4 linked regions of the Daphnia pulex genome follow. The protein of the gene in region 1 purifies or fractionates together with the protein of each later gene. This does not show direct contact. Links are inferred from orthologs where the notes say so. Each region holds a gene or a part of one and is shown in the gene's direction. Other genes may lie near its edges. The genes, in order: E3 ubiquitin-protein ligase Ufd4-like, zinc finger protein 622-like, coatomer subunit alpha-like and structural maintenance of chromosomes protein 2-like.

The links.
Region 2: the proteins of E3 ubiquitin-protein ligase Ufd4-like (region 1) and zinc finger protein 622-like purify together in Homo sapiens (affinity purification with mass spectrometry; 4 studies listed by BioGRID, with this or other methods). This does not show direct contact. The link is inferred for Daphnia pulex from reciprocal best matches to the Homo sapiens genes HECTD1 and ZNF622.
Region 3: the proteins of E3 ubiquitin-protein ligase Ufd4-like (region 1) and coatomer subunit alpha-like purify together in Homo sapiens (affinity purification with mass spectrometry, with the first as the bait; 3 studies listed by BioGRID). This does not show direct contact. The link is inferred for Daphnia pulex from reciprocal best matches to the Homo sapiens genes HECTD1 and COPA.
Region 4: the proteins of E3 ubiquitin-protein ligase Ufd4-like (region 1) and structural maintenance of chromosomes protein 2-like purify together in Homo sapiens (affinity purification with mass spectrometry; 3 studies listed by BioGRID, with this or other methods). This does not show direct contact. The link is inferred for Daphnia pulex from reciprocal best matches to the Homo sapiens genes HECTD1 and SMC2.

Annotation. Positions count from the first base shown.
Region 1 is NC_060020.1:86,899-94,508, reverse strand, and holds the end of E3 ubiquitin-protein ligase Ufd4-like, read left to right. Parts: coding exon 1-1,597; intron 1,598-1,687; coding exon 1,688-2,948; intron 2,949-3,019; coding exon 3,020-3,565; 3' UTR 3,566-5,107; downstream 5,108-7,610. UniProt on the Homo sapiens protein: E3 ubiquitin-protein ligase which accepts ubiquitin from an E2 ubiquitin-conjugating enzyme in the form of a thioester and then directly transfers the ubiquitin to targeted substrates.
Region 2 is NC_060020.1:4,435,600-4,442,774, reverse strand, and holds zinc finger protein 622-like, read left to right. Parts: upstream 1-2,505; 5' UTR 2,506-2,604; exon of another isoform or gene 2,605-2,642; intron 2,643-2,719; 5' UTR 2,720-2,738; coding exon 2,739-2,874; intron 2,875-2,938; coding exon 2,939-3,662; intron 3,663-3,736; coding exon 3,737-3,959; 3' UTR 3,960-4,018; downstream 4,019-7,175. Other genes in the region: NPC intracellular cholesterol transporter 2 homolog a-like, read right to left, coding at 4,107-4,190, 4,330-4,420, 4,489-4,522, 4,584-4,634, 4,706-4,816, 4,883-4,999, 5,067-5,106, 5,234-5,374. UniProt on the Homo sapiens protein: Pre-60S-associated cytoplasmic factor involved in the cytoplasmic maturation of the 60S subunit.
Region 3 is NC_060025.1:3,019,356-3,027,385, forward strand, and holds the start of coatomer subunit alpha-like, read left to right. Parts: upstream 1-3,314; 5' UTR 3,315-3,420; coding exon 3,421-3,500; intron 3,501-3,587; coding exon 3,588-3,735; intron 3,736-3,797; coding exon 3,798-4,352; intron 4,353-4,426; coding exon 4,427-4,637; intron 4,638-4,704; coding exon 4,705-5,078; intron 5,079-5,151; coding exon 5,152-5,304; intron 5,305-5,369; coding exon 5,370-5,967; intron 5,968-6,031; coding exon 6,032-6,240; intron 6,241-6,302; coding exon 6,303-6,485; intron 6,486-6,553; coding exon 6,554-6,963; intron 6,964-7,031; coding exon 7,032-7,206; intron 7,207-7,282; coding exon 7,283-7,687; intron 7,688-7,751; coding exon 7,752-7,988; 3' UTR 7,989-8,030. Other genes in the region: GDP-D-glucose phosphorylase 1-like, read left to right, coding at 1-96, 170-270, 350-501, 616-681, 759-880. UniProt on the Homo sapiens protein: The coatomer is a cytosolic protein complex that binds to dilysine motifs and reversibly associates with Golgi non-clathrin-coated vesicles, which further mediate biosynthetic protein transport from the ER, via the Golgi up to the trans Golgi network.
Region 4 is NC_060019.1:8,744,416-8,752,392, forward strand, and holds the start of structural maintenance of chromosomes protein 2-like, read left to right. Parts: upstream 1-3,133; 5' UTR 3,134-3,247; coding exon 3,248-3,565; intron 3,566-3,626; coding exon 3,627-3,764; intron 3,765-3,835; coding exon 3,836-4,418; intron 4,419-4,483; coding exon 4,484-5,014; intron 5,015-5,079; coding exon 5,080-6,033; intron 6,034-6,118; coding exon 6,119-6,300; intron 6,301-6,373; coding exon 6,374-7,252; 3' UTR 7,253-7,914; exon of another isoform or gene 7,915-7,977. Other genes in the region: protein diaphanous-like, read left to right, coding at 1-135, 213-459, 1,202-1,280, 1,346-1,589. UniProt on the Homo sapiens protein: Central component of the condensin complex, a complex required for conversion of interphase chromatin into mitotic-like condense chromosomes.

The DNA of each region.
Region 1 (7,610 bases):
GCGGATCCAACAGCGGAGCGGGCGCAATGGCGGGCGGCGGTCACGGCCACGGCGCTAGCGGAACCAACGCCGTCAACGTCTCGTCTTCCTCGTCATCGAACGCCTCGTCGTCGCTGCTCTTCCCTCGCGGTCCCAATTCCGTGTCCAGTCTGGTCCGTCTGGCCCTGTCCTCCAACTTCCCCGGCGGACTGCTCAGCACGGCCCAGAGCTACCCGAGTCTGAGCAACACGCTGAGCAGCCTCTCGTCGGTGGCCAGCCACGCCGTTTCCATGGCGGGCGCCTCTTCCACCAACTTGCACCACGCCCACGGCGGCGCTGGTGCCGGCCAGGGGGGACACCAGCAGACGAGCAGCAGCAGCAGCCACGGATTGAGCCAGGCGCTGTCGATGAGTCTGACGGGCTCCAGCGACTCTGAGCAAGTCAGTTTGGAGGACTTTTTGGAGAGTTGCCGGGCCGGCACTTTGCTGGCCGAGCTGGAAGACGACGACGAGTTGCCCGAGCCGGACGAGGACGACAACGAAGACGACGATGAAAACGAAGACGATGAAGATTTCGAGGAAGTGACGGAAGAGGATGGAGGAGGCGGAGTCAGCAGTCTGGTGGGCGGGGCGGGCGACGGCAGCGGAGCCGGATCTCGACACGTGACCGGCAACACGAAGCGACGCAGTTGGGACGACGAATTCGTCCTCAAGAGACAATTTTCCGCCTTGATTCCGGCCTTTGATCCCCGTCCGGGCCGTACCAACGTTCACCAAACGTCCGATCTTGAAATTCCGCCACCCGGAGCCGCCGAAGGAGCGCAAGGAGCCGAAGCCGTCATCACCACTTCTTCGTCTCCGTCCTCGTCGGGCCTCTCGGCCACCGGCCAGCAATTGCAGCAGCAGTCCGTCATTCAATCGATGGACGTGGAAGCCGACGCCGATCTGGTGCCGCAACCCAAATTGCACCTGGTCCTGCGCGGCCCATGTCTGCCCAACATCCCCGACGTGGAAATTGAGCTGACGGACAGCGACTGGACCGTCTTCAAAGCCGTGCAGAAGCTGATCCAGGCCTCGGCCCTGGGCACCCGCCAGGAGAAATTGCGCCGCATCTGGGAGCCGACCTACACGCTCGTCTACAAGGAGCTCAAGGACGAGGCCGGTGCCGTCGTCGTCGTCGGTCCCTCGACGGGCGGAGCGATGGGCGACGCGGCCGGACAGCGCCGACTGATGGACGACGAACTCTTTTTGCCCGACTTTGACGTCAACACGCAGACGAGCAACACGGTGGGCTCGTGCAGCGTCGGCGACGTCCTCCTTTTGCTGCGGCAGCTCTACGTGCTGAGCAGCCGGCCACCGGCCGCCGGCGAGCAGTCGGATGTGGAGCAGCAGCAGCTGCAGCATCAATCGCACCACAGTCCGACCATCTTTATTCCGCTGGAGGAGTTTAGCAGCAAGAAAGTGACCAACAAGTTGATGCAACAACTTTCCGACCCTCTGGTCGTGTCGTCGGGCGCCCTGCCCGCCTGGTGCGAGCAGCTCCTGACCGTCTGCCCCATTTTGATTCCGTTCGAGACGCGCCAGATGTACTTTCACGCCAACGCTTTCGGCACTTCTCGGTAATTTTTGAATTGGTCCATTCGGTTTTTCCGTCCGTCCGTTCGTCTTTTTAACCAAACATATTTTCTCTTATTTCTTTGGCATTTCAGATCGATCGTTTGGCTGCAGAGTCAACGCGATTCGGCCGTCGAGAGGCAGAGAAACACGGGCGCCGTTCCCAGACGGGACGACCCGCACGAGTTCCGCGTCGGCCGGCTGAAACACGAGCGTGTGCGAGTGCCCCGCGGCGAGCGGCTCCTGGACTGGGCTCAGCAGGTGATGAAGGTCCACGCCGACCGCAAGGCCATTTTGGAGGTTGAATTCCAGGACGAGGAAGGGACGGGCCTGGGTCCGTCGCTCGAGTTTTACGCTCTGGTGGCGGCCGAGAGTCAGCGACGCGATTTGGCCCTTTGGATCTGCGACGACGAGGACGAAAACGAGTTGACGGCGTCCGAAACGGCGGCCTCCGTGGCGGATTCAGGAGTCAAACCGCCCGGCTATTACGTGGTGCGGCCGTCGGGTCTCTTCCCGGCCCCGTTGCCCCAGGACTCCCCCATCTGTGATCACGCCGAGCAGCTCTACTGGTTCCTGGGAGTTTTCCTGGCCAAGGCCCTCCAGGACGGCCGCCTTGTCGATTTGCCTCTCTCGACCCCTTTCCTCAAATTATTGTGCCAGGGCGACGTCTCATGCCCGGCCCAGCAGCCCGTTGTCGTCAGCGACAGCAAACGGAATAAAAACTACCGGGCTGGATCTCACCCGCCGCCGCAGCAGCCGCCCCCACCTCCTCCACAACAACAGCAACAACAGCAGCAACAACAACAACAGCAACAAGAAGCGGAAGACCCCATGACGTCGTCCGTTTTCTCGCAGGACGGCGACGTGCTGGGCGGCAACGGTAAACCGTTGACGGGCAGCAGCAGCCCTCGAGATCCGTCGCTGCCCTGGTTCTCCGGCATCCTCTCGCACGAAGATTTGGCCGTGGTGGATCCGACCCGCGGCCGATTCCTCCTCCAGTTGCGAGCCCTGGCCACTCGTCGCCGTCAGATCCTGACGGACCCGACGCTCAGCCACGAGGATCGCTGCCGCCAGGCCGACAACTTGGCCCTGGCACAGCCCAATCTGTTGAACAGCAACACGACGACGACCGTGTCGAGCGTGTCGAGTCAGAGCCACAGCAACATGTCGCAGAAGCCGGCCACCATCGTCCCGCCGCAATCTCAGAAGATTCAGAGCGCCGCCCAGGGACAGGGGCAGGGAGTCGGAGGCGGAGTCCGCCTCGAGGATTTGGCGCTGACGTTCCAGTTTGCCCCGTCGTCCAAAGTCTTTGGATTCACCGACGTTGAATTGCGTTCCGGCGGTGCCGATTTCGAGGTGGGAAATTTAATTTTTTCTATTTTGTGGAAATGGAATTTTGATTTAATTTGAAAATTGAAAATGTCAAGGTGACGCTGGAAAATGTCGAGGATTACGTGGAACAGATGGCGGAATTTTGCCTGGAACGAGGCATCCGCCGCCAGATGGAGGCCCTTCGCCAGGGATTCGACCGCGTTTTCCCCATGTCGCGATTGGCCGGCTTCAGCCCGTCTGAGCTGCGGCTGCTCCTGTGCGGCGACCAGAGCCCCAGCTGGACGCGCGAGGACATCCTCAACTACACGGAGCCGAAGCTGGGCTACACCCGCGACAGCCCGGGCTTCCAACGGTTCGTCAACGTCCTGACGGGCATGAACGCCGAGGAGCGCAAGGCCTTTCTCCAGTTCACGACGGGCTGCTCGTCGCTGCCGCCCGGCGGACTGGCCAATCTCTACCCGCGTCTGACGGTCGTCCGCAAAGTGGACGGCGTCAGCGACCGCAGCGGATGCGTCAACGGCAGCTACCCGTCCGTCAACACGTGCGTCCATTACCTCAAATTGCCCGAGTACGACTCTGAGGAGATTTTGCGCGAGCGGCTCCTGGCCGCCACTCGCGAAAAGGGTTTCCACCTCAACTGAAACCTCAGCCCCACACACAATCCGAAAGTAAAACCTTTTTTTTTTTTCGTTGCCTAAACATCATTTTTTTTGAATTTGAATTTTTGTTTAATCCTTAACCCTTTTGGCGGGCTTTTTCATTGTGCGTGCATCCACACCATTTTTTAATTCATTCATATTTCTTGGTTCGCCTCAATTTTCCCCCTGGAATTATTAATTTTTTTTTCTTGTTGGAGTTTGACTTTTGTCACCATTTCACCGTTTTTTTTTTGGCTCTCTCGTGTACCCCCAAATTGTTTCCCCCCTAAAATGCCCCACCAGCCACTACACCCGATGTGAAAAAACCAAAGTTTTTGCGATTTTCAGAGGAGAAAAACAGACAGACAAAGAGGAAAGGAAAAAAGTAGCGCTAGTGTCATTTGATCCCAGTTGGAAGGCGGGGTGTGGATCAGCTGGTGAAGGTGAAGGAAAGAAAAGAAGAAAATGAAGGCAGCAGCTTATTTGTTTGTTTTTATTATTTTTCCCCCCCAGTCCCTGCAACGTGAACATTTCTTTTGTTTTTCGATTGGCTTGTTTTTTGTTCCAAACTGCAGGATACATAAAGATGAAACGTAAATCAACGACTACTTGCTCCCCCCTGATGATGATGATGAAAATCGTGTGTCCTTTCCCCATGTAATCCCTTTGATACAATTTAGGGCTCAATCAACGGCCAGCTCTCCTCTATTTTTTAATTTTAACTTGTCGCCTAGATCTAAAAGAATTCTAAAAAGAAATTTGCCATTTCCTTTGCTAATCTTTGACTCGCTGGTAACAGGAAGACAAAAGAGAAACAGGAAAAGAGAAAACGAGTGCGCAATTGGTTTTCTTGTTACCTCCCCCATCAGCTCCCTGATATCACCGCGCCCCTTATTGATGGCATCCACTAAAAAAATAGACTAAAAACGGAAAAATTCGTTTGCGAGAACTTGCGGAAATCTCGCAAGTCGGTAGTGAATCGATGGTAGGACACCAGCAGAGAGTGGGGAAAAATAAAAGTTACACACGAGCCTCTTATTGTCGGCATTTGGAGATCTTTAAACGTGTGTGATTGCGTGTCGGTTAATGAGACTGTGGGACTCTTGTCCACATTTCGACCGCTGCACTTTACTTCTCATTTAGCGCGCCATCCCCCCCCCACCACATTTATTGTGAAATTTCAACTCGCATCTTTATAATAAAAACAAAAATTTATTGTGCCCTCATCATCCCCAACCCCCTCACACACACACATATGATGTAATCTTTCTCGCATCGATTGCGCATTGATTGATTTCATTAATTATGATTCAATTTATATGTTCGTCTCACTCCCATCCCGGCTACACCCCTTTCTATTCTCGCCCTCTCCAAAGAACTACTATCGGGATTTTGTCTTGTTTTGTTTATCTCTTCTCTTCTTCAATATATTCTGCTCCTCCTTATTCAGATATTTCATGTTTGTCATTTGGTCATGCCGGATTTACTCTTGCACATGATGGTGTAGTAACTACTACTTTAATCAAGTATACGTTTCAACGATAACTCTCCTAACCTGAATCACCAATCTCCGTCCTCCGTCCAAACTCTTTGGCCGACGATTTATTCACGACGTTTGATTTATTTTAAAAAAAAGACCAAATTGGCTTGCTGAGACGTTGAAAAGCAAACCCCAGAACAATGCGGATCAATAGGAACCTGCGATTTTGATCGTGGGTTGTTGGCTAAACGAAATTTAATTGCCATTTAGAGTTGAACTGAATTGTTTTCGTGGGGTTCAAATTACTTATTTAGTCTACTGTGAGAATATTTTAGTTTTCGATTGGAGACTTGTGCCATCGTGTGACGACTGACGAGAAATCCAGGGCCTCGGGTAGACTGTAAGTATTTCTTCAGAATCGTGAAGCATAAACGTACATGACAAGCCATCCAATAACTATTTCAAGATAAGAATTTATTTTTTTTTTCATTCACGAATCACGATTCACGAATTCAGTGGATTTAATTTGTTTAAGAAAAAACCACTTAACTCTATTTTTCTTTTTATAAAAAAATGGCAACGTCGCCCTTTTCTGGCATTCCGAATGGCGGCGCCCAGGTGAAATGTCGTTTGTCGCGGTCCTCTTCCATGGCGTTTGATAATTCAAGTTCTCTGACGTGCTTATTTCATTGTTCATATTGTAAGTAAGGTACACTTAATGCGTGAATCTTTAAGATAAACGGCTGTGGTGCCAAGTATGTGTGATATAGTAATGGCTGCCAAGGTCTATGCTGTTATTCACCCGTATACCTTGTCAACATTGGATGTGTCCCAATGTCAGTGAGTTGCCTGAAAAAATAACCAAGGATAACAAGTCAAGAGAAATCCTAGTGAACAGCTTACCATTCTTACTTATTTTTAAAAGAAAATGTTCAAATTTGGTTTTATTAACAGTTCATTTGATCAAGTGTAATTTTTCAACAGTAAACTTTCAAATCGCAACATCTCAGTATCAAGCTTTTTGCTTTAGTGTATTGACAATCCGTAAATTTTCCTACCTGGTCTTTCATCAACTCTAATTGTTACCCCATTAGTTATTTTGACTTAGAATTTATAGAATTCAACATGTCGAGTGCAGTAGTTTTGATTATTTGATTTTTTTCTTATTTAGATTGTGTCAATCACTGAAAGAGGATCAGCATCCTGGTGATCTCTTCCAGGAGGAAAATGACTACACGGTCAATAAAAACAGGGTGAAGAAAAGATAACAAATTCTATTAAAGGGGTCATCAAGTTAAGTTTACATAGAATCTTGAGAATCATCATGTTGAGTGCAGTAGTTTTAATTATTTTTTCTAATTTAAATTTTGCAATAGGCAAAATGAGAACTATCTGGTTATCCTTCCACGGAAAAGGCAAACACCACCAACATGGTCAACAAGTTTGTTAACCCATTGAATGTTACCGGGTAGCAGTAACCCTTGAATTCCCTCTCCTTAGTTCCTTGAAATGGGCCCACTCTTATTTTGAGTTATTGCTTGCTGTCGTAAACAATCTTACATGCAATTTTAAAATCTAAAGTCACCTCCATTCTCGTTTAAGGTTAACCTCTGCCGCTATTCCATGGACTGAATCCATTGGTGGAAACTTACGACAAATCAGTGACAACTGACTAACGGGCTGTCATTCAGCAATACTTTTCACATGCGTGCCATCCTTCCGTCGCCCCAAGGCACGGGGGAGTTGTGCCTGCTCCAGCTATACGAGGCCAGGATAATTTGACTACCCAGCAACCGACGGTCTGGTGGGCCAACTCACCCATCACTGACTCCAACTACCCCTGCTCTCAAATGACCAAAGGACGACGATTTTGTGAGTTTCGTTTTTTTTTTCTTATTTTTGTTGTTGGGTGTTGATGAGCTAGAGCAGTGACACTTTCATTTTAAACATATCTTCTTTTGACGGTAGATGGCCATAACATGGCCTTAGATCATTTCTCAGCTGTCAGTTGCACCAGCTTCTTATTTTGCATTTTTCTAAAGACAATTCTAAAGACAATTATCAGAGTTACTGTAAGATAATTTTGGGTGATGTTTGAAACTATATTGTTCAATTTTTTTTAAGTATTTAAAAGACTCATCTGCCCATATGCCCATGTAATGTTTAAGAGACGAGTTTGAGTGTATACTAGTAACTGTTTAATTATTCTTTAAGATCATAGACGTTAAGCACATTGATCATTAACACAAATTATAAAAAATGTGACTTATTTTTCTTTTTTTATTTACAGGTTCTAAACTACAGATTTCTAAATTTGCATGACAGAATTTCTGAGAAGTCATGTGCTTTGAAAGAGAAAAGACAAAAACTACAGTCAACAAGGTCCCTTGTTTGGTAACCTGTTGGCTGCCACCATATCTCCCTTTTTACTTCCTTCTCGACTTGAGGTATTGCTTTCTGTCACTACAATCTTATTGAAAATTATGGTCATTCAATGTTTATTCTTCTTCCAGGGTAACTCCTTTGCTACTTATCATGGACTTCATCCATTGGTGAAAACGCAAGATT
Region 2 (7,175 bases), about 4.3 Mb from region 1:
GCTAACCTAACGATTAATAAATTTAAACATTAATATTTAATAATAACTGTAATAAATAGAAAAAAAAGGATTGATACAAAACTCGATGTAAAAACCAAAACATTTACCCATAATTGCAAACTGATGATAAGATGAACAATCCAATTGTTGACAAATCGTGCGCTGCAGTTGTTGCGGTGTCGGAAAGACTCTTTCGATTGATTTTTGCCAACTTTTCTCTCTCCTTTTATACGACTTCTCTTTTGAGACGACTCATTTTACGCAGAATAATACTTCGGGGCGTCGGTGTAGTAGCTCGGGGCAGCGAAGGTTATAGTGTAGTACTTGGGCGCTTGGGTGTTGTAGAAATTAGGGGCCTCGGTGTAGTAGGCAGGGGCAGCTTACGTAGTCGTGTAGTATTCCGATGCCTTAGTGGTGTAGTACTACGGCTCTTTGATGATGTAGCTCGGGGCAGAGTTATACTTCTGGTCTTCTGTGTAATAGCTCGGGGAATCGTAAGTTTTGTTGTAATACTCAGTCTTGGTGGAGTAACCGGTTGTTGCCGTAAGGCGGCGACGTTGTGGTTTGATATCCGCCATACCCAGGAGACATCGGTACACCAGTGGTCGACCAACCCGTCAAAGATAAAACACCCAACAGCAGCACGACGCCATAATTAACTAGACAATAAATAAACTTAAACATTAATATTCAATTAATAACTGACATTAAGAAATAATCATAAGTAGCATCAATACAAAACACCATGTAAAAAACAGAATACATGTTACATACCCATGATTGCGAACTGATGATACGATGAAGAGGGCAGTTGTTGACAGATATTGCGCTACAGTTGTTGCCGTGTCGGAGATCCTCACTCGACTGATGTCGTCTCTGGCCTTTTCTCTCTCCTTTATATACGATTTTTTTTTCATACTTCACCTCCTAATAAGCCTTGCGGCTTAAGTACCTGCTTGATAATGATGCAAAACGCCCGTTCGCGCCCAACCTCTACACCACTGCATGACAAGTTTTACTTAATGATCTCCGTGACCTTCGAGCGCGAAGGACATGTAAACTGGCCTTTCCTTCTGCAGGTTGACGTTGTTGGGGATGGGTCTACAAAAACAAATTTAAAAATGAATACCAAATGGTTATGTAACACGTTTCGTTCTCACCAAACCTCTCCCCCACTGCATGACACGTTTACCGTAATGATCTCCGTGACCTTCGAAAGTGAAGGACATGCAAACTGGGCTTTCCTTCTGCAGGTTGACGTTGCTGGAGATGGCCAGATGGGTCTAAAACTACGAATATCAAAATGAATACCAAATGGTTATGGCTTAAAACTTACTTTATACCAATTGCCATTTTAATTATTTGACTTGTTTCTTCGGTGAATGAATAAATCTTTCATTTCGAACCATTTGAAGGACAGTTGGCTTTTTAAAAAATAATCAAAGTTTTCAAACTCAATCCATGATCATTTCATGATGTGCACACAGTTGATGTTGATCCTTGTTTGAAAACCTCTTTTCTTTATCAATTGCATATACAGTCCATACAACACAATAAATATTATAGAAAGTTTGGCATGTAAGTTATAAATGGACAAGAAAACTATCGTTGTTTTTTGTTCTGGCTTCAACACAAGCACTAGCACTCCAACTAAATACTAAAAAAAGGTTTTCACTCAGGAACCTGGATGGAATAAAAAGAATTCCTTGCCAACCCATTTTTTAAAGACACTTTATTCAATTATTATTGAAATTTACCTTCACAATTATTAATAATTTAGGGGGAAATGTGCATGTGAAGAAGAAACAGTAAAAGAAATTACTAGGAAAAAGAGAAAAGCTAAAAAAAAAATTGTGTCATAATCTGCACATTGAAAACTGAATTCCACAAATGGGGGAATTTAATAACTGAACATAAACATTGCACAAGTTGGAACTTGCTTTTTGTTGACAGACTTAAGGAACGTACAAGAGCTCTCATCAGCAATAACTTGAAAATTTAAGAGAGAGATTTAAGAGTTATCAAGATTTTCCTATAACTTCTTAAAAAACTCAAACAAAAAGAAATTCAATCATGTCTGATGTCTTATTGAAACTCAACAAGACCAGAGTATAAAGGAATCAACTTCTTAGTTATCAATTAACTACATCAATAGCTTTCTAGTAATAAAATTTGATCAACATGAAGTGAAGAGATGACTGACAAAATGGACCAGGCATCAGGTGATTTGACCCAGTGGAAAGGATTTGCTAGATTACTTGTAAATTTCAAACACAAATCGAAACAACAGAATTACCTTTAATTTTAATTATGTATAATCTCAAATGCACCATAATCTGAGTAGCAAGTCTAGCAACTTATCTCTAAAGTCAAAACTCAAAAGCAAATGGAGGAATGTCATCAATCACGAATAACTCCCGCCACCAGTTGAACAATTTCACATTGTCAATCACATTGGAAAGTGACATCTACAAACAGAATTGTGAAGCTGATGAAACGCCATCTATGAGTAACAATCAATAATATATTCTTGAACAGCATGGCCGTTGCATTGTTGCAGTGTTGAATTGTCTTCAAGCAGTTACGTTTTGTTTTTAATCAACGGTAAATCGACGGGATTGTTTGATTTTCATTTTGTGTTCGTATGTATTCTGAACTACATTAACTTTTTCATAATAGTTGTTTTTAACATTTCTATGTGAACTACCTGATATCTTAGATTATTTGGTGCCAGAAAAATGATGACATTTACTTGCATATCGTGTCACGTTGCGTTTAAAGAGCCAAACATCCAACGTGAGCACTATAAAACAGATTGGCATCGCTACAACCTCAAAAGAAAAGTTGTGGACTTGCCGCCTGTTACTGCAGAGGGTATAAAACAAATGTTTTCAATATGATATCAAATTTAAATTTATGCATGTAATATCGTTTTCAGTATTCCAGCAACGTGTGTTGGAACAGAGGACGCAGGCAAACCAGCAAGAAGCCACAAAGAGCCTGACACCCTACTGTACCTACTGCAAGAAAAAGTTTGGTTCTGAAAAGTCATATGAAAATCATTTGCCATCAAAGAAGCATCAAGATAATGTCCTTAATGGTCCTAAACTTGCTATCAAGAAGACAGAAAATGCTGGCCCTGCTGAAAGTGAAGTAGCTGTGAACGAGGAAGAAATAGAAGTTGAAGAAGAAGACGATTCAGATGAATGGGAAGATGATGATGAAGCAATTCCAGTAACATCTTGCTTATTCTGCAATCACAAGAGTGATTCATTGGAGAGCAGTCTGAAGCATATGTCATCACAGCATTCATTCTTCATACCAGATTTTGAATATGTTATTGATATAGAAGGAATGGTAACTTACTTGGGAGAACGAGTTGGCCAGGGACATATTTGTACGTGGTGTGGGCATCTTGGACGGCAGTTCCCTTCAACAGAGGCAGTACAGAAGCATATGCTTGACAAGGGACATTGCAAATTGTTTCATGAAGGTGAAGTTCTGCTGGAATATTCAGATTTTTATGATTACTCCACTAGCTACCCAGATGGTGGGGATGCAAATGAAGAAGTGGAGCCAAATGTCATAAACGATCTAGGATTCGAACTAGTTTTGCCTTCTGGCTCAACGATTGGGCATCGATCCCTTAACCGCTATTACCGGTAAAAAAAATGTTAATATTTATTATTTTTTTCAATTGCCATTTTACTTATTCGGTTCTTTGCAAAACTCCTAGTCAAAAATTGAATCCAAACCCAAGACCAGTACCCACGCGCGCAGCGATTCAGCACGGAAATTATTTCAAGGCTCTAGGCTGGACGACATCAACTAAAGAGATAGTGGAAAAGAAAGTGAGAGACATCACATTTATGCGGAAAATGTTTTTGAAAAATCAGCTTGGTGTTAGTGTGAAGGCTAACAAACTGCAAAAACATTTTAGAAGACAAGTTGATATGTAGATTATTAAAAGTACTTGCTGATTCATTCACTGGTGAAGAATATATACGTTTCGCCGACATTTTATATTTCACTGTTTTTTTTATTGGATTACAAACACTTTTAGAACACAAATTAACAGAATAAAGTAAGGTATGTTTTGAGTCCGCTTACAAGATTGCGGCAGGGATCTCAATACAGAATAAATCTTTCCCATGAACTTCTTGAAGCTCCCATTTGACTAGTACTTTGATCTAAACATAGAAGAATAAATCATTAAGAAACAAAAAAGGTAAAATTTGATCTAAATGACATTTCAATGAAGTGCAAGCATTTTGAAGACCAAAATGATTATGCGAAACTTTTTGGTAAAATAGTAAGCCTTTTTTTTACCTTAGGGTAAGCAGGACTGATTGGAATGGATGCTGTGTAAGTATAGTTTTGTCCATTACTTAAGGGGCAGACCAAACCAGAATTTTGACAACTAGAAACAGAAAGATGATAAAATTAAGGAAAACCACTGTTTACATCTAAAATTGTGCTTTCACTTACGCATCACTCTGTGGTAGAGGGAAAGGCATAGGAACTAAAAGTAATGTATTATTATTAATTACTTGAATAGAATTAAAGGTTTATTTTCATATTACTTCCTGCAATAATACCATGGACGCTAGCCTTGGTTGTATCAGTATCTTCCACTAGATAATGAACAGAGTGAATGTGTTTTACTTCAGACTTATTAAATACAAATTGGGCTTGAAATACTTACACGAAGTGAACACAACTGTAAAGTTGGCACTGGAACCAGATTTAAGTATACATGTGTTGCTCGTTTCACAACCAGAAACTGCCACTGACCGAACTTTCCCATAAACCGATCCTGTTGTGACCAAAATCAGATGGTTATTGGCAAGCTTAATATAGAAAATAAACAAATGAACCTTACCACAATCTTTGAAAATCAAGGCATGAGTTGCCAACACAACAGAGGCAAGAACGAGAACGGCGAGTGATTTCACAGCAGTCATTTTGGGAGAACAAGTGGTCGACAGAGAGTGAAAGCCTGTGAGAAAGTGATCATCTTTACACAAAACGCAATATATAGTAGCCAGGAAGCGGACGTGGTGTACCACTTTGCCCAACGTTAAGAATTGAACAATTTGGCTCAACCTGCAATCGGAGATTACGACTACTTCAGCAAAAATACTTACAAATTCAACAAAACAATTAAAACTTCGTTAACGAAATGAGACGCGTCTACGTTGACAGATAACCAACGATTAATTTACGATGTTACATTTTTCTGTCTGCAGCAACAATGATCAATGCCAAGTTTGTACAACTGCTCCACTTTTTCGACTGTTGGACGCCATGGCCAATGGGCGGGCGTGGTACAGTACGAGGAGATTAAGTACAATATTTCAAAAACTTCCGCCATTGATAAAGAATCGAAAACTATGACCAATTGTAATCAAATAAGATAAGATTTGTTGTTTAGCAAGGGTGTTTTCAAAAGGAAGTACATTCATTATCTTTATGTGTTCACCATTTTTTAAGTTTATCTTGAGCCCACGGATTGAGTGCTTGGTAATCGAAAAGGAACAAGTGATTATAATGGGCAACATTATTTAATTGACACCAGCCTTCAAACTGTTTAAACATAAAAGAACTTTGAAGATTAAGGATGTATTTACTCATAATTTAAGGGGGTTGGATACTAACTAGAAGTGATCTGGTATGTTAAGCATCCTTCAAAGACTTTTTGTCTAAAACTGAAAGAAATGGGTTAATTCGATTAACTACTGTGCAAAAACAGTTTAGAAAAAAACTATGATAAATAACGACGCATGGATCCCGTTCGGGTTCATTCATTCTGCAGCTCAAATTGAAGCGACTTTCAGACCTGAACCAAACGACTAACGATGATGCCAAATTCCGCTGACAGGATGGATCATAAAACGCGCACTTTGATCGTAAACTGACCTCATTCGTACGCTGCAAACTCTGCAGTTTGCTGAATGAAATTGCATCCGACGAAGATCAGCTGAACATCCGACCCCAAAAAACATGCCCCGCCAACTATACCGACCGACCACGAAAAGCAACTTGCATGTGTAGTTTAACACTGTCAAGATTTTTTTCTTTTCAAAGCAAAAATGATCGAGTCCAAAAAACATGTATTCGGATAGTTTTTGTTTTAGGGGGAGATTGGGATTGGGGGAGAACAACAATAATATGGAGGATAGAGAGAAAATAAAGAGCGTAAGAAATGCAAATAAGAGAGATGGTAGCAAAAATGTTGGTTATACATATTATTATGATTCGCACACGATATAGCAAATGTTTCTGTCGAGAAATGACATAGGGCTTATTTTTATAATTAAAAAAAAAAATTAAAAAAAGAGAAAACGTTCACATGTCAAATCGCGGCGGAAGCTCGATAGACCGTCATGATCAAAATCTGTACATTATACACGATTTTCCATTATGCTAAGACAGTTCCATTCATTTGTTTGTCCAAAAATCATTTCTTTTTTCACATTTCACTACATGCGTGTGTCTAATCCTTCGACACGCCCACGATCCGGAAACAACAGAAAACTTCGACAATGTCGCCAACAACAACAAAAAAAGAGAAAAAAAAGGCACTTGTTATTGAAATTTGGAAAAAAAAGAACACGACAAATATAAGAGTTTATACATTTAAAGTACGAAAAAAAAGCATTTTAAAAATGGTTGGTTCACGGGAAAATTGTAAAACGAATAATAATAATAATTAAAAAAAAAATTTAACACACGCCGTTATCCCTCTTTCGTTTTTATCCCTCCAAAAGATTTTGTTGTGAACAAAGTGTCTTCATTTGTTTTTTCTTAGAAAAATAAAAACAAAAACAATCATCAGGTGTGTGAGGTACAGCGATTCGAAAGACATTAGTGTTTGCGCCATCTGGTGAAGCCAACACGATTGTTTTCCTACTCGACCGAAAGAGAGAAAAAAAAAGGAATAATAAACAGAAAAATAAACGAATTTCCATCAGAATTGATTGTCCCCTCTCAAAAATGGTATTTTTGGCGACTTTTTGGAATTTAAAAAAAAAGTAGAAGAAAGAAAACGAGAATCATCCGATTGAATTAACTCCGGTCGAATTTGGTTTTGGCAATCGATTGGCCACTGAACTCGGGTACTTTTTTTTTTGTGTTTGTTTGTTTGTTTTTGAAACGGGGATTTACGAGACACA
Region 3 (8,030 bases), on another chromosome or scaffold:
AAGGCCGGTTTCAACAGCCCCGGAGGATATGCATCTGTCAATCATCAGCATTACCATCTCTATTATTTGCGTGAGAGGCTCTACCTGGAAACAGCGGTATGCCATTTGATTTCCCATTATAATTGTTTAATAAACCCCCCCCCCCCCAAAAATAATTGGTTTTCAATAGGCTGTGGAGCCAATCGCTGGGCCTTGTTTCGCTTTAACTGATTTCCCATCGAAAGGTTTCGCATTTCAGCTGACGGATAACGATCCAGCACTCCTCGCCAAGTATACATATCGAAAACACTTTTCATCGTTGCGATCGATAATTTATTGCTGCTGTTGAATGGCCATTGTTGGAGTGCAGGAACGTGTTTACTTTGGTCTCTTACCTTTGCGCCAACGAGATTGCCCATAATCTGTTCGTGACTCGAGGGAAACGCTTCGGCGGAACTCTTACCACCGCCGATGTCTACGATACGCTGCGCGTGTTCGTCTGGGCCAGAGAACCTGCATTCGGTAACATGGACGTGTAGAACAAAAGAGAGAAAATATAATACTCAGATATAAATTTCCAAGTGGCGCAGCGTCCCTTTTAACTGGCATTTTTTCTCTCCCACTTTTTGCCCGCAGGAGTCAAAGAAGAAATAGGATTCAACCCTGCACTTTGCGAGCTGGCCGGCCACCTTTTGATCAAAGGTGCGTTTAAACTTGTGAAGAATCAGCATAATTTCTTCGACTATAACTGTCTTGAGGTCATTTTGCATTTATTTCAGAGCCACCAGCCTACCAGGTCGTGACGGAAAAAGAAGCCGCCCAACTGCTGGACAGCATCACGGCACCCTGGTTCGAGCGCGTCGGCGCCCAGATTGCCCATCTCTTTGCTTTTGCCACGTAGTCAAAAACGATCGCTCCCAGTTGACAGATGACTGACGTAAATGACCCTGTTGTAATTAAATCGCGCCAGCTTTTTTCTCTCGACCAGCTCAACTGGTTCCGTGAGGTTGTGCACAGCACAGACAACAGTAACGATTTTTCGGTTTATTTCGGTTTGCATCAATTTTCATTTGGAGCCGGGCCACGTTTGGCTGGGTTGAAACAATTTCAGGTCGTTTGCTGTTTTTGCCTTCGTTGTCTCTTACAAAACGCTGACCAGTGAAACACAGTTGTTTAAACTATTTTAATTTTTTATTCTGGGGGGTTTTTGTGTATATTTCATCTTGACGTGATAATTATGTTGTCAACAAAACTACGATGATAGATTCGCAGGGGGAATTCTAAAGGGCTGGAATTCCGGTAATTTATACCCCCCCCTCCCCCATTCAACCATCATTTGACAATGTCAAATGATGGTTAACGCCGTAAAAACGCCGTAAAATTCTGTTCTGTGCTGGTCACGACCGTCGTGATTCTGTAGGTTAACCGCAGTTACACTAGACATATATGTTAGAAATGATTTCTACCGTGATATTAGAGGTAGAACTAATATACTACGTTTTAATTAAAATAATTGAAACATGAAATGAAGTGAGTGAAGTTGAACTTGAAATTTATTTGATGAAATTAAATCGTCATACGTTTAAATCCAGACATGAATAACATTTTTTAGTGACGTACGGATCTCAATTGGTAGCTGTTCCCAACTCGTTTAATTCCGGATGACCGAGTCTCTGTAACTGGCGGGGGGATTTTCATATTCCGGCGGCAGATTCGGGTAAATGGTCTGATACACATTTTCTGTTGCTTCTCCTGTTGTCGTTCCTGATCCTGTCGTCGCTGGAGGTTCGTGCAGAGTAGGTGTGGGGGGTGGTGTCAGGTTTGTGGTGCTTTGGCCAGATTGGGCTGCGATTTCATTGTTAGCTGGAACGTCATTCCAGTAACGTGGAAGTTTTGGTTCTTTTTTAGTTTTCGTCCAAAATCTATCCACTGCTAACCACACACAAGCAACAGCGCAGCATTTCAGGTAGCCGGAAACCAGTTCTTGGTCGAAATTCGCCAGATTAGGCGAGATGACGTCAAAGTATCCAATTTGAAAGGTGAAGACTGGACCCATTATACCGAAAAGTCTTTGGACAATTTTCATTGCAGAATCATCCTCTTCCTCCCACTTCCAGTAGTAATCCATTTGCAATAATGTTGCAAACATAAGGTAAGCCTGAATTGCCGCTAGTGTGGGCAGCGCATTGGATAGGGCGGGGATCCACATTTCCGGAGGTGTTGAACATGTGACCCAAACAACCGGATTCCCATCGAGATGATTGTCGGGACTGCAAAGCACATCAAGTCCGTTCGGTTTGCAGGCGGCTAGAAAGTTTGGAGCCAGAGTTTCAGTTGGACCGTTGTTCACCCATAGCCAGACGAAAACACCTCCAGTAATCAACGCTACAATCCATAGCAGAAGTTGAAACAACACCAGCAATATGCCTGCAGAACGGTTTGATGATGAAACAGAACGGAATCTTTTCTTTGCGAGTAGGATGCCTGACATCAAGAGACTTACACAGCAAAAACATGTTCCTTGTAGAAAACAGACACTGTATTTTTCTCTCGGGTTACTGGATTTCATCGGATAGTTAATTTTATCGTACTCGTTGCATGTTATTTTTATTGGTTTTCCATTAATGTCCGGTTGATTAGGAGGTAGTTTGACAAAACAGATTAAAAATGTCCACACAACGATAAGTGTAATCACGTATCCGATCAGGTTTGAAAAAGCTTTTTTCCCTTTTGCGAATTTCGTCATGGTGATATGAATCGCTGTTTAGTTTGATGATTATCCGCTTCGTCTAGCGGTCGTATATATATCATTCCATGGACAGAAACTTGCTCTGCAGTTGTTGAACCGGCAATTAATCGTAAATTTCGGGATAATCAACTTGGATTTTTATTTTTTAAATTTCGTTTTTCGTTAACTTACATTTTAACGAATAATGTTCAAAAGAAATTACGAATATGCGACAATCCCTTATCTCGTAATTTGTATTGTCAAAAGTACACTTGGCTTGAATTTGACACGAAAAAGAAAACATTCGAATCTTCGTTTAAGTGGAATTTCAAATTTCATACAGTTCTCTTCGATTGTTGACTCATCTTATCGAGTTTTTTCTTAAAGCAATTCACTTCAACATTAGAAAGCACGCTCTATCATTCCTTGGGCGTAGTTAACGATAACTAAGTCGACAAGATAAGACTCGCCTACGTTGACTTCGTTCACCAACACCAGAAGAATTTGGCAATTCAAATTAAAAAAAAAAAAACTAGCCAAATCCGCACTGAACTATGCCATCTAGCGTGAAGTACCTTCATATTATATGAACCTATCGGTAGGTGGCGTTTATCTTGACTACTTCAGCGACGTGGCTCTTCTGTCATTTCATTATTCCGGAGACTTGTATACTTTATATTTGGTGACCGTTCACCGGTTAATGTCTCGCAAAAATGCTAACTAAATTTGAAACGAAATCGGCCAGAGTTAAAGGCCTTTCCTTCCATCCCAAGCGACCATGGATTCTAACGAGGTACGTGTTTTTGCATACTTTGATTCCCGTCTTGAAGTCGGCAGTTGTCAAAGTCTGAATTGTTTTAATTGAATTTTTGTCATTTAGCTTGCATAGCGGAGTAATTCAACTATGGGATTATCGTATGTGTGCGTTGCTGGATAAATTCGATGAGCACGATGGACCTGTACGTGGAATCTGTTTCCATAGTCAGCAGCCCCTCTTTGTTTCTGGTGGCGATGATTACAAAATTAAGGTACCCACCCTTGCCTGACTTGACAAATTAACAAATGCCAATAATGTATGCTGTTCCTTTAGGTCTGGAACTACAAGCTGCGGCGCTGTCAATTCACATTGTCTGGCCACATGGACTACATTCGTACCACAGTCTTCCATCACGAATACCCATGGATTTTGAGCGCCTCTGATGATCAAACTATTAGAATCTGGAACTGGCAAAGCAGAGCTTGTGTATCTGTTTTGACTGGCCATAACCACTATGTCATGTGTGCCCAGTTTCACCCCACAGAAGATTTGATTGTTTCTGCATCCCTGGATCAAACTGTCAGAGTTTGGGACATTTCTGGTATTAACAGTTGTCAACCATTTTTCACTGTCAAGATCACATCATTATTTCTATTTTTGTTAGGTTTGAGAAAAAAGAATGTGGCACCTGGACCTGGAGGTCTCGATGAACACCTCCGTAATCCTGGAGCCACCGATTTATTTGGCCAAGCTGACGCAGTTGTTCGCCATGTTTTGGAGGGGCACGATCGCGGAGTGAATTGGGCAGCATTTCATCCGACACTTCCGTTGGTCATCTCGGGTGCTGACGATCGCCAGATCAAGTTGTGGCGAATGAGTGAATCTAAGGTGACGAGAGCACAGCAGAAATGACTTGTTAATCTTCTGAAAATAACTTTTTTGTTTCTCCGTATTGTGAACAGGCATGGGAAGTCGATACGTGCCGTGGCCATTACAACAATGTTTCTTGCGTCTTGTTCCATCCTAAACAAGAGCTGATCCTTTCCAACTCGGAAGACAAGAGTATCCGCGTTTGGGACCTCACGAAGAGGACGTGCCTCAACACTTTCCGTCGTGAACACGACCGTTTCTGGGTTATGGCTGCCCATCCAACTTTGGGTCTATTCGCAGCAGGTAAATTAACATTCTGTAACATTTCAAATTGGATCACGCTAATAATGCTAATGTGTTGTTTATTCAGGGCACGATTCCGGAATGGTGATCTTTAAGCTGGAGCGAGAAAGGCCTGCGTACAGCTTGCACGGCAATCTGCTATTTTACGTCAAGGAGCGTACCCTTCGTCGGTTGGATCTTACCACGTCGAAAGATACCGGTTTGCTGCAGTTGAGGGGCAACGCTCGCACGCCGATCCACAGCATCTCGTACAATCCTGCCGAGCAGTCTGTTCTGGTTGTCACTCGCGCTGCCAATTTAGACAATTCCATCTACGAGCTCTACTCGGTTCCAGTTGAAGCCGATTGTCCGCAAGATGGTGGCGATGGAAAACGCTCAACAGGTGTGACTGCCATCTGGGTCGCTCGCAATCGTTTTGCTGTCTTGGATCGTAACCACACGGTATGCCACGACTATAAACACCGGGTTAATGTTGGTTTTCTACAATAATTTTATTTCATTTTTCATTTTTTAGATCGTCATCAAAAACGAAAAGAACGAAGTCAGCAAGAAAATTCAGACACCTCCGTGTGATGAAATCTTTTATGCTGGTACTGGATGCGTTTTACTTCGTGATACGGAAGGCTTGACCTTATTTGATATCCAACAGAAACGTAGTGCTGGACAGGTAATAAAACTAAGCAAGTAGGTCATTCCAAGAACAACCATGTTCATTCAAAATTTTCTATGCAGGTTAAAATGACCAAATGTCGCCATGTCGTTTGGTCGGCGGACATGAGTCACGTTGCATTACTGGGCAAGCACGTCTTGACCATCGCCAACCGTCGTCTTGAAGTGCTGTGCACCATCCAGGAGAACGCCAGACTCAAGTCTGCTACCTGGGAAGATTCGGGTGTTCTGATCTACACCACTAGCCACCACATCAAGTATTCATTGATCAACGGCGATCACGGCATCATCCGCACCCTAGATCTGCCCGTGTATCTCACCCGTGTCAAGGGCAAGGCTATCTACTGTTTGGATCGCGATGCCCGTCCTCGCATGTTCCAGGTGGATCCCACCGAATACTGCTTCAAGTTGGCCCTGGTCAACCGAAAGTACGACGAAGTGTTGCACATGGTTCGACACGCCAAACTTGTCGGCCAATCGATCATCGCTTATTTGCAGCAAAAAGGTTATCCAGAGGTTGCCCTACACTTTGTCAAAGACGAAAAGACTCGACTGGCCCTGGCTCTCCAATGTGGCAACATTGAAGCAGCTCTTGAAGCCGCCAAGGCTCTAGACGACAAGTTCTGTTGGGAGAAACTTGGCGAAGCTGCCCTTCTTCAAGGTCAGGATTCTCGCTATTAGTTTTTTTTTAATGATGTTTAACTTACTTTATATTGGATCTGTAGGCAACCACCAGGTCGTTGAGATGTGCTATCAAAGGACAAAGAATTTCAACAAGTTGGCCTTTTTGTATCTGATTACTGGCAACCTCGACAAGCTAAGAAAGATGATGAAGATTGCTGAAATTCGCAAGGACACTTCGGGTCAATACCAATCGGCCCTTTTGCTAGGGGATATGCAAGAACGTGTCAAGGTGCTTCGTAACTGCGGACAGGTAATACGGGACGGTTCAGTTAACTAAGTTTTGAATGATAGTAATGTTTAAACATGGTCTAGACGAGCTTGGCTTTCCTTACTGCCGCTACCCATGGGCTTAATGAAGAGGCCGAACTACTGCAACAACAACTGGAAGCAGCCGGTCAACCAGTACCTACTGTAAATCCATCTGCTGTGTTCTTGCAGCCGCCTCCTCCAATTGCTCAGGCGGAATCCAACTGGCCATTGTTGACCGTTTCCAAGGTACGCCATTGTTCATTTGATAGATTTTAATGGGAGGGAACTTTAACATTTGAAATGAACTGGAACAGGGATTTTTCGATGGAGCCATGGCAGCTCGTACCATTGCTTCTGGATCTGCTGTTGCTACCGAGGAAGATGCCGGTGAACCTGATGGCTGGGGAGATGATGCTGATCTTGGTCTTGATGATGAAGATAAACCGGTTGGATCGGCTGGCAATGCCGAGAGCGGAGATGAAGAAGGTGGCTGGGAAGTGGGTGATGAAGATTTAGAGTTACCATCCGATTTGAGCGTTGCTGCTCATGGAGGTGAAGACGAAGACCGCGGTTATTACGTGCCACCCACTCGTGGTCAGCCTCCTCTGCAAGGATGGGCCACTCATTCGCAATTGGTTATTGATCACGCTTCAGCTGGCTCCTATGAATCTGCTTTCCGTCTCCTCCATGACCAGATTGGTGTCGTTAATTTTGCACCGTTCAAGTACGTACAATAACTGTTAATTCCTTCGTCATTTGCTTATAACATAGCGTTTCTTTCTACTCCGTTAGGCCATTGTTTACCGCAGCCTTCGCCAAATCACGAACTATGTTTGCTGGATTGCCTAATCTACCTTCCCTGGCCGCATACCCACAGCGTAACTGGAGGGAAGTTGCTGCCTCCTCTAAAGTTCACGGATTACCTGCACTTGGTGTTCGCTTGGCTGATTTAGCTCAAAGGCTTCAGGTAGGCCATCATTTTATTTTATTTTTTTTTTTTCAATTTGGGAAAGTAGTTAAATTATATTTAATTCGGTTGACAGATCTGCTATCAACTGACGACTGCTGGCAAATTCAACGAAGCTGTTGATCGTTTCCGCCTGCTTTTGTTAAATGTTCCACTCTTGGTGGTCGACAACAAAGAAGAAGTTCGCAAGGCCCAAGAATTAATTGCCATCTGTCGGGAGTATATTGTTGGCCTTAGCATGGAAGCTGCTCGTAAAGATTTGCCCAAGGAGAGTTTAGAGGATCAGAAGCGTAGCTGTGAAATGGCAGCCTACTTCACCCACTCAGAGCTGCAACCCATCCATCAGATCTTAACTTTGAGAACGGCGCTGAATCTTAGTTTCAAACTCAAAAACTTCCGCACTGCGGCCTCCTTTGCCCGGCGCCTCCTGGAACTTGGACCTAAACCCGAAGTGGCGCAACAAACTCGCAAAATCCTTCAGGTACTTCATCTGGAAGTTTATTGTGGTAACTCATGCTCAATTTTTTTTTATTTTGTGTCCACAGGCATGCGATAAAGGTGCAAATGATGAAGTCCAGCTCCACTACGATGAGCACAACCCGTTCAACTTGTGCGCTAAAACTTACACGCCCATCTATCGCGGAAAACCAGAAGAAAAGTGCCCTCTTTGTAGTTCAATTTACCAACCTTCATTGAAGGGATCCTTGTGTCAAGTTTGTACCGTTGCTGAAATTGGAAAGGATTGCATCGGATTGCGGATTAGTACCGCCCAATTTCGATAAACGAAACGTTCGTGTCCCTTGATAATTCCAGTATCGTTTATT
Region 4 (7,977 bases), on another chromosome or scaffold:
GACGTCCTCGTCAGAATGGGCAAGAAAATGGAGTCTGTCTACCACGAATTGTCCGAGTACTTTGTCTTTGATCCGCAAAAGTACACGTTGGATGAATTCTTCACCGACGTCAAAACCTTCAAAGATTCCTTTAATGTAAGTTTCTGTTTGTTGTTTTTGATGATGGAACATCCGGATAAAGTATCGTGTTAACCTTGAAACTTTTTCTCCAGCAATGCTATAAAGATAATTGCAAACTGCGTGAAACGGAGGAAAAGATCCGACGAGCGCGCGAAGCCAAGGAGAAAGCCGAGCGGGAAAAACTCGAACGCCAAGCCAAAAAGAAAGCGCTAGTCGACATGAATATTGACGACGACCAGGAAGGTGTCATGGACTCGCTGCTGGAGGCTCTGAAAACGGGTTCCGCTTTCTCCAGAGATCAGAGACGGAAACGGGATCGACCCCCTCGTGCAGTCGGAGGTAATTAACTAATTATCGTTCATCACGTTTTGTCATCTCGTACAAACATCGTAGAACTTGTTTCATTATTTGGCACGTACCAAAGACACCAGTCCGTTAAGTCGGTTGTAGAATTGAGCGAAGAAGGTTGTCTAGAATGTGAGTTGAAGCGTATAACATAACATTTCGTTTCCATATCCCCAAAATTCGTACGTTGCTCTCCTTTGCAAATCCTGTTGGCAACGGCGCAGACCGATCCAACCGAGTTCACAACGGGTAAGAGATCCCCAGTTCAGTTACTGCAATCTAAAAAAGTTGGAAATTTGAAATGACATGACCGCTTCCAAGATGATGGCACGCCGTAACCGAATTGCTTTGGATTTTATTTCCCTCCCCCGCCACTTGCCGGTGTTTGGTATAACTTTTTTCGTGTGTGTGTGTGTGTGTGTGTGTGTGATTTTTTAAATTATTATTAAGTTTTGCTGCTGACTACCCGAAACAGTTTTTTTAAGGTATACCAACATTGATTTAAAAAGAGAAAAAAAAAATAACGCGTTCAAAAAGTTGCTGCCTTTAAACTTTGTTAACAGCTTCGGACACAGTGTTCATTTATTTATTCACCACAACTCATCGTTATTTTTTTTAATCCGTTTGATGTAATCGGCTTGCAAACCATTTTTATTTGCATGGGCTTTCGACAAGTGCCTTTTGTTTGTACCGTCTAATGATGATTTTTTTTTAAATTGTTTTTGTCTTCGAGCAGCGGAGCGCCGTGCACAAATGAATCGCAGTCGGTCCAAAGGAGCGCTACTAGAGTCCCCTTCATCTCGGGAAATGAAAGGGTATTGAACAAATTGTTAGTCATTTTCCGATTGCATTGTTTCTGATTTTGTATTGATGAAAACAGGACATTCGGTGACGAAAGACCTCCAGTTCCTGCCATAACGGATGACTTGACGGATGGGCTAGCCATGAAAGCGCCTCGCCCAAGAAAAGCGCGACCACCGCCCAAGTTTGACATGGCTGCCGAGTTACTAATGAGTGGAGGCCGAGAGAGGGAGGTGAAGCTCAACAACGGAGGTGGATACTTAGCTGCCGCTGATGACGGATCAGAGGCAGACAGACTGATGCAACGATTGAAAGCCCTTTAACGAAACCTCACCCCCTTTCCCAGATGTACTTGCTCCATTCCACTATATTTTGTTCCGAAATCTGAAGCCCATAGACGTGCCTTGTTTGTATTGTACAGTATGTTTTCCATGAACATATCTTTGCGCTTCAGAATATGTGCCATTACGTTATATTCACCGTGGGTTGCTATCATTCCATTTCCATGAGATCTTCCAAAGGGGTAGAATTCTGGTCTGTGGGCGTTGTGCTTTTCTTTTGGGACTCGCCAGTCATCTGTTGTCCAAGCAGTTGATTGGGAAAGCCCAAAGTTTGTCAAATTGGCCTTTTGGATTTTTACATTTGTCACCCAACGCTTGATGGATCGTGCTGACATTTGTACACTGATGAAATGTGCCTGCCTCGTTACATTGTTAATTACGCCTTGGTTTGAGGCATTCGGTTCACATCGATTATCCTTTTGTTTGCCTTCTGTACTAAATAATATGACTATGACTTAACATGACTGTCTGTCTGTGAGAGAGAAGTTTGCAATTCTGTTTGCTATCGAATTTATGTTTAAAAAAGAAATTTGCATGATTCCATGTAAACACAATCGTGCTGATCGTAAGACCCAAGGATATACTGTATGCCCTTTTTTTCTGCTCAGCTCCTTGTTGTTAATTCTCACCCTTTCTCCTTCACGAGCCGAAGCAAATAGTTTTATTTATTATTTTTGAACACTTTGGGCTATATTTATTCTTAGATAACAACTGAAATTTTCTTGTAAATAGATATGTACAGTTGTGTCTGGTCGTAACAAAAAAAAATTGCAATACAAGTGGGACAATGTTCCGTGCTAAAAAAAAAGGAAAAAATTACAAGTGAGCAATTTTGACTAAATTTTTTAAACATTTAAAGGACATAATCTGACGCTGTTTTAGAATCTAACGATTTCTAGGTTCTTGTCGTTGGGTTCTTCGTTTCTAGGCATCCTCTGGTTGCCGTTGGTTGCTCTGTGGTTCTGGTACTCTGGCCAGAGCCACAGTAGCATCACGATCGTAGCATGTAGCATCGTAGCATACTATCTCTCTCTGCTCTGAGTGTGGGGCCAGGTGGGGCCGCTGGCTTCTCTGGCTGTCAGTGGACCAGTGGACATGAGTCGGCAGTCGCTGACTCGCTGTTAGGGCTGTGGCCCGGACGTTTTTTAGCGGTTTTTTTTTTTAAATGGGTTTTTTAGATGGGTTTTTCTTCTTCCGCGGGTTGGGCCAACAGAGTAAATGGGTTCGGCCCGGGCCGACCCATGGGTCAAAAAATTTTTACCGGCCGGGTAAAACGGCCCGGATAAAAAATCGGGTCAAACACACTTTTTTTTTACAAACTTAAAAAAATTCCCTAAATTTCTTAATTATCTTCATCTTCCAACAGTGACACGTCAATTCTGTCTTCTGAACACCCCTGAACGCCCTTTTCTACCACTTATCCTACTTTTCATGCTACGAAATTATCGTGCGTTTACATACGCATCAAGTGTGGTGGGAAAAGGCTTCTTTTTTTGAAAATCCAATCCAGAGTATTTGAGGGTTGAAAGCATAGCCTACGTAAGTTATGCGTTGAGCCGTTGAAAGGAAAAGGAGAAAACAGCGGGAAAAGACGTTGAGTGGCTGGCAAGCCGTGATCAAGTATTTTTGTGTTTTAAAAAATGTACATCAAATCTATGGTAGTTGATGGTTTCAAATCCTATGGCCAAAGAACTGAAATCAATGGATTTGATCCAATGTTTAATGCCATTACAGGGCTAAATGGTAGTGGTAAATCTAACATTCTGGATGCTATCTGTTTCCTTCTTGGCATCACAAATTTGAGCCATGTAAGAGCAACAAATTTGCAAGAATTAGTATACAAAAGTGGACAAGCAGGTGTCACGAAAGCCACTGTGACAGTCACCTTTGATAACAAAGACAAAAAACAAAGTCCAATTGGCTATGAGCATTATGATGAAGTTACAGTGACTAGACAGGTATTGTTATTTATGATTTCATTATGACTAGGATATATAGTCTATGTTTCCATATTTTCAGGTTGTCATCGGTGGAAAAAACAAGTATCTCATAAATGGATCAAATGTTCAAAACAACCGTGTCCAAGATTTTTTCCGCTCTGTGCAGTTAAATGTCAACAATCCTCATTTCCTTATCATGCAAGGAAGAATTACTAAAGTATTGTGCTTAACTCATTCATCAATTTGTGGTTGCATTTCAGTGTATAAGTATGTGTTTTCACATTGCAGGTTTTGAATATGAAACCCCCTGAAATATTGGCCATGATTGAGGAAGCTGCAGGGACCAGAATGTACGAAGCGAAAAAGCAACAGGCTTTGAAAACAATTGAGAAAAAGGAAGAAAAAATCAAAGAAATCAATGACATCCTTTCAGAAGAAGTTACGCCAACATTGAACAAACTGAGAGAAGAACGAACTCAGTACCTGCAGTTTCAGAAGTCCGAACGTGAATTAGAACACTTGAACCGCCAATATGTAGCTTATAGATTCCTCAGCCTTGAAAAAGCTAATGCCCAAGTAAAGGAGGAATACAATGAGATTTTAAAAGAAAAGACAAATCATTGTGCCACTGAAGAAAAACTCAAAAATGAAATTGAGGCACTGGAAAAAGAAATTCATACTCTTCAACATCAGAGAGACCAAGTTGGTGGCAAAGAACTTACACAGCTTGAAGAAAAATTGCGTGTTCAAGAAAAAGCCGAATCGAAAGCCCAATCAGCTGTTAAGGTGCTCAAGGAAAATATTAAAGCTGAAGAAAAGAGGAAAAAAGAGCTGAAGAAAAGTCTTGACGACGACACCGCTGCTTTAGAAGGTAAAATTTTAACTTTTATTTTATATATTTTCAGTATTATAGCGTATTTATATTCATCGGAACAGGCAAGGAGGTAGAAGAGAGTAAACTAGGCGAGACATTTGAAAAATTAAGGCAAACTGAACAACAGGATAGTGAAGCTTTGACAGCTGCCCAAAAGCGCTTCCAAGAAATCAGTTCTGGTTTGTTGGCCAGTGACAATGGTGCTGCGGCCACTTTACCTGAAGAACTCATGGCCACGCAAAAGAATGTTGCTCAAGCCGAGTCGCAGTTGAAGCATTCGGAAATGACAACCCAACATCTAAAAAAAGAGCTGAAAGTTAAAATTAATGAGATGAAAAAGTCGGAGGTCGATTATAAAAAAGATGCACAAAACTCTAAGCACCTCGAGAATGAAGTTAAGAGACTGGAAGCCGAACTTGGGCAGGTTCACTATGATGAAGAGAAAGTAACTAATTTAGAGCAGTTGCAAAGAAGCTTGAAACCGGAAATGCATTCGCTGCGAGAGAAAATTGAATCATTCGAAGCTCGATTTCCTCAAATGGCCTTTCGGTACACCCCTCCTGAAAGGCAATTCGACGCATCTACTGTGAAAGGTTGCATTTCTATAGTGTGACTTTGTTTATATTTCTTTTCTTAACTTTTTTTTCTTCGTGAACAGGTGTGGTGTGCAGTTTATTTGAAGTTCCAGATATGTCCTACGCTACTGCTCTAGATATTACTGCTGGAGGTCGGCTATACAACATAGTAGTCGACAGCGAAAACACGGCAAAAAAGCTTCTTGAGAGAGGCAAGCTCCAGTCACGTGTCACATTTATCCCTCTCAACAAAATTGAAGGCAGAACCATCGATGAACGGACTACGGCAACTGCCAAAAGAATCGTTGGTAAAGAAAACTGCCATACCGCAATATCTTTGATTGAGTTTGAGAACCACTTGACGCCGGCAATGAAGTACATTTTTGGCAGCTCCTTTGTTTGTAAGGGTCTAGACGAAGCTCGACAAGTTACGTTTCACGATCAGATAATGCGTAAAACAGTAACTTTGGAGGGGGATGTCGTTGATCCTGGTGGTACTTTAACTGGTGGCAGTCGAGCTTCTGGCCAATCTGCTATTCTCAGAGTTAACGAAATCAAGCAGTACCGCAACGAATTTGAGGCAAAAGATCGTCAACTAAAGGAAGCGGAACAAGAACTTCGAGTTATGGAGCAGGCTTCAGCACAGTATCGCACTCTGAAACAGCGTTACGATGTGAAAAAGCACGAATTTGAATTGCTCCAGCAAAGGCTCCAGCAAACGCTTCACCACCGCCAAACTCAAGAAGTCGAAAATATGAAGTCGGAATTGGAATCAGCAGAGCAAAAGGCCCTCGAATGCACCGACATCATTAAAGAAGGTAAATCGCGCATCAAGGAGTTGGAGAATCAGTTAAAGAATGCCGGTAAGATTCGGGAAACTCAGTTAAAAGCAGCCCAAGCTGAATTGGATCGTTGCAAGAAGGCGGCAGCTGCTTCACAGTCTAAATGGAAGGAACATGCAAATGATGCTGACTCGCTTAAACTAGAGTTGGAGGAACTTCGAAAATCTATTGAAACTACTGACATTCAATTAAAAGGTAACGACATACTGTTTCTGTTATTGAATTGTATGTTTCAAAATTATCTTTGCACTTTTTATTAAATTTTTTGTTCTTCATCTAGAGACTGAGATAACACTAGCCAATTTACATGAAGAAATGAAAGTGTTGAATGAAGCTCTGGCAGTTGAACAAGCTAATGTACAGGAAGTCAGAAAACAAATTGACGAATTTAAGGCACGAATTTCAGCTCAAAATCAAGAAATTTCCAAACGAATTGCTGGTAAAGAACAGCGCGAAGCTCAGGTTGGCTTTTTTTTTAAATCCCAATTTACAATACTTCATAATTCTAATTAATTTCTTTATTTTGAATGCAAAGGTGAGTGAAGGTGAACTGCACTTGAAGAAATTGGAACATCGGCTTTCCAAAGCAAAAGATGACGCAAAAGATTCCGAAAAGCGTGTTGACGCCATGCTCGAAAAACATGCTTGGATAAACGAAGATCGACACCATTTTGGAGTAGCCGGGTCTAATTATGATTTTAACGTCATTAATGGAGCAGAATTGGGACAGCGCGTTCATAAATTAGAGGAATCCATGAAAAAGCTTGGTCGCCATGTCAACGTTCGTTCCATGACTATGTTGACACAAGCAGAGGCGCAGTATAATGACTTGATGCGGAAGAAGAGGATTGTAGAAGAGGATAAGGCGAAAATTGAAAACGCAATCCTGAAGCTGGACGAAAAGAAGAAAGAAACTCTTCAAGTGGCTTGGGAACAAGTGACAAAAGATTTTGGTTCTATTTTCTCTACCCTGTTACCCGGAACCAAAGCAAAACTGCAGCCACCGGACGGTCAAACAGTGCTAGACGGTCTCGAAGTCAAAGTTGCTTTTGGCGGAGTATGGAAAGAGAGTTTATCGGAATTGAGTGGCGGTCAGAGATCCTTAGTGGCTTTGTCGTTGATTTTGGCTATGCTATTATTCAAACCAGCGCCTATCTATATTCTTGATGAAGTAGACGCAGCCTTGGATTTGTCTCACACTCAGAACATTGGGGTGATGTTAAAGCAACATTTTAAGCAGTCGCAATTCATCGTTGTATCTCTGAAAGACGGTATGTTTAACAATGCTAATGTTCTTTTTCGCACAAAATTTGTTGAAGGTATGTCTACGGTCAGTCGATTGGCTCAGCAACAATCGAACTCTCATGCCCGCCCAGCGGAGGAAGAGGAAACTCGGCCTAAAAAACGAAAGTAGACGATTATGTATCAGAAAGCATTTGTAAATCGTACTTCATCTTTTCTGAAGCGTGAACCTATTAAGTGTAATGCGTTCGGTAAATAATAATTCAGTCAGTTACTAAAAATGAATCAATCATTCGTAGTTTTCCTTTATTTTGCGTAAATTAAGTAATTTTACTTGTAGGCCTATTAGTAATTCGCATCTCCATGTTCACTTTCCCAAGAAAAGCAAAGCGATTGAAGTTTTTTCTTATGTTGACAAACATCAGCTTAACAAAAACGACACGACACAGTAATACTTGTGTATTACACATACTTGTGTAATACTGACGATAAGTATTCCACCAAGAAAGCTCACTTGTTAATTTTTCGATAATTGCTTTTTTTTTAAATGTACTAAATGTATTTCACGGAGATGACGAATATTTGATTATTTGGTTTATTTTTTTTTTTTTTTCCGTCCATGACTCTAGTCGTCCGTGGTTGCTAAGGGCTGTCACTAGGTGGCTAAATGTTTCAGTGTGTTTAGGGATTGAACTATTCAACTCTAGTGTGGGTTTCCAGAGGGATGTAGGGGGGTGGGTCACCAAACTGTCAAAGTGCTGAGACGACTTACTAAGCAGTATTTCTTTTGCTGTCGAGACGCTGTCCGAGAAGGTTGAATATTGTCCTTGCTGGGTACTTTCTTACATGACATTTTTCACCCCAGACATGGTAATTCCATCTTTTATTCTTTAATTT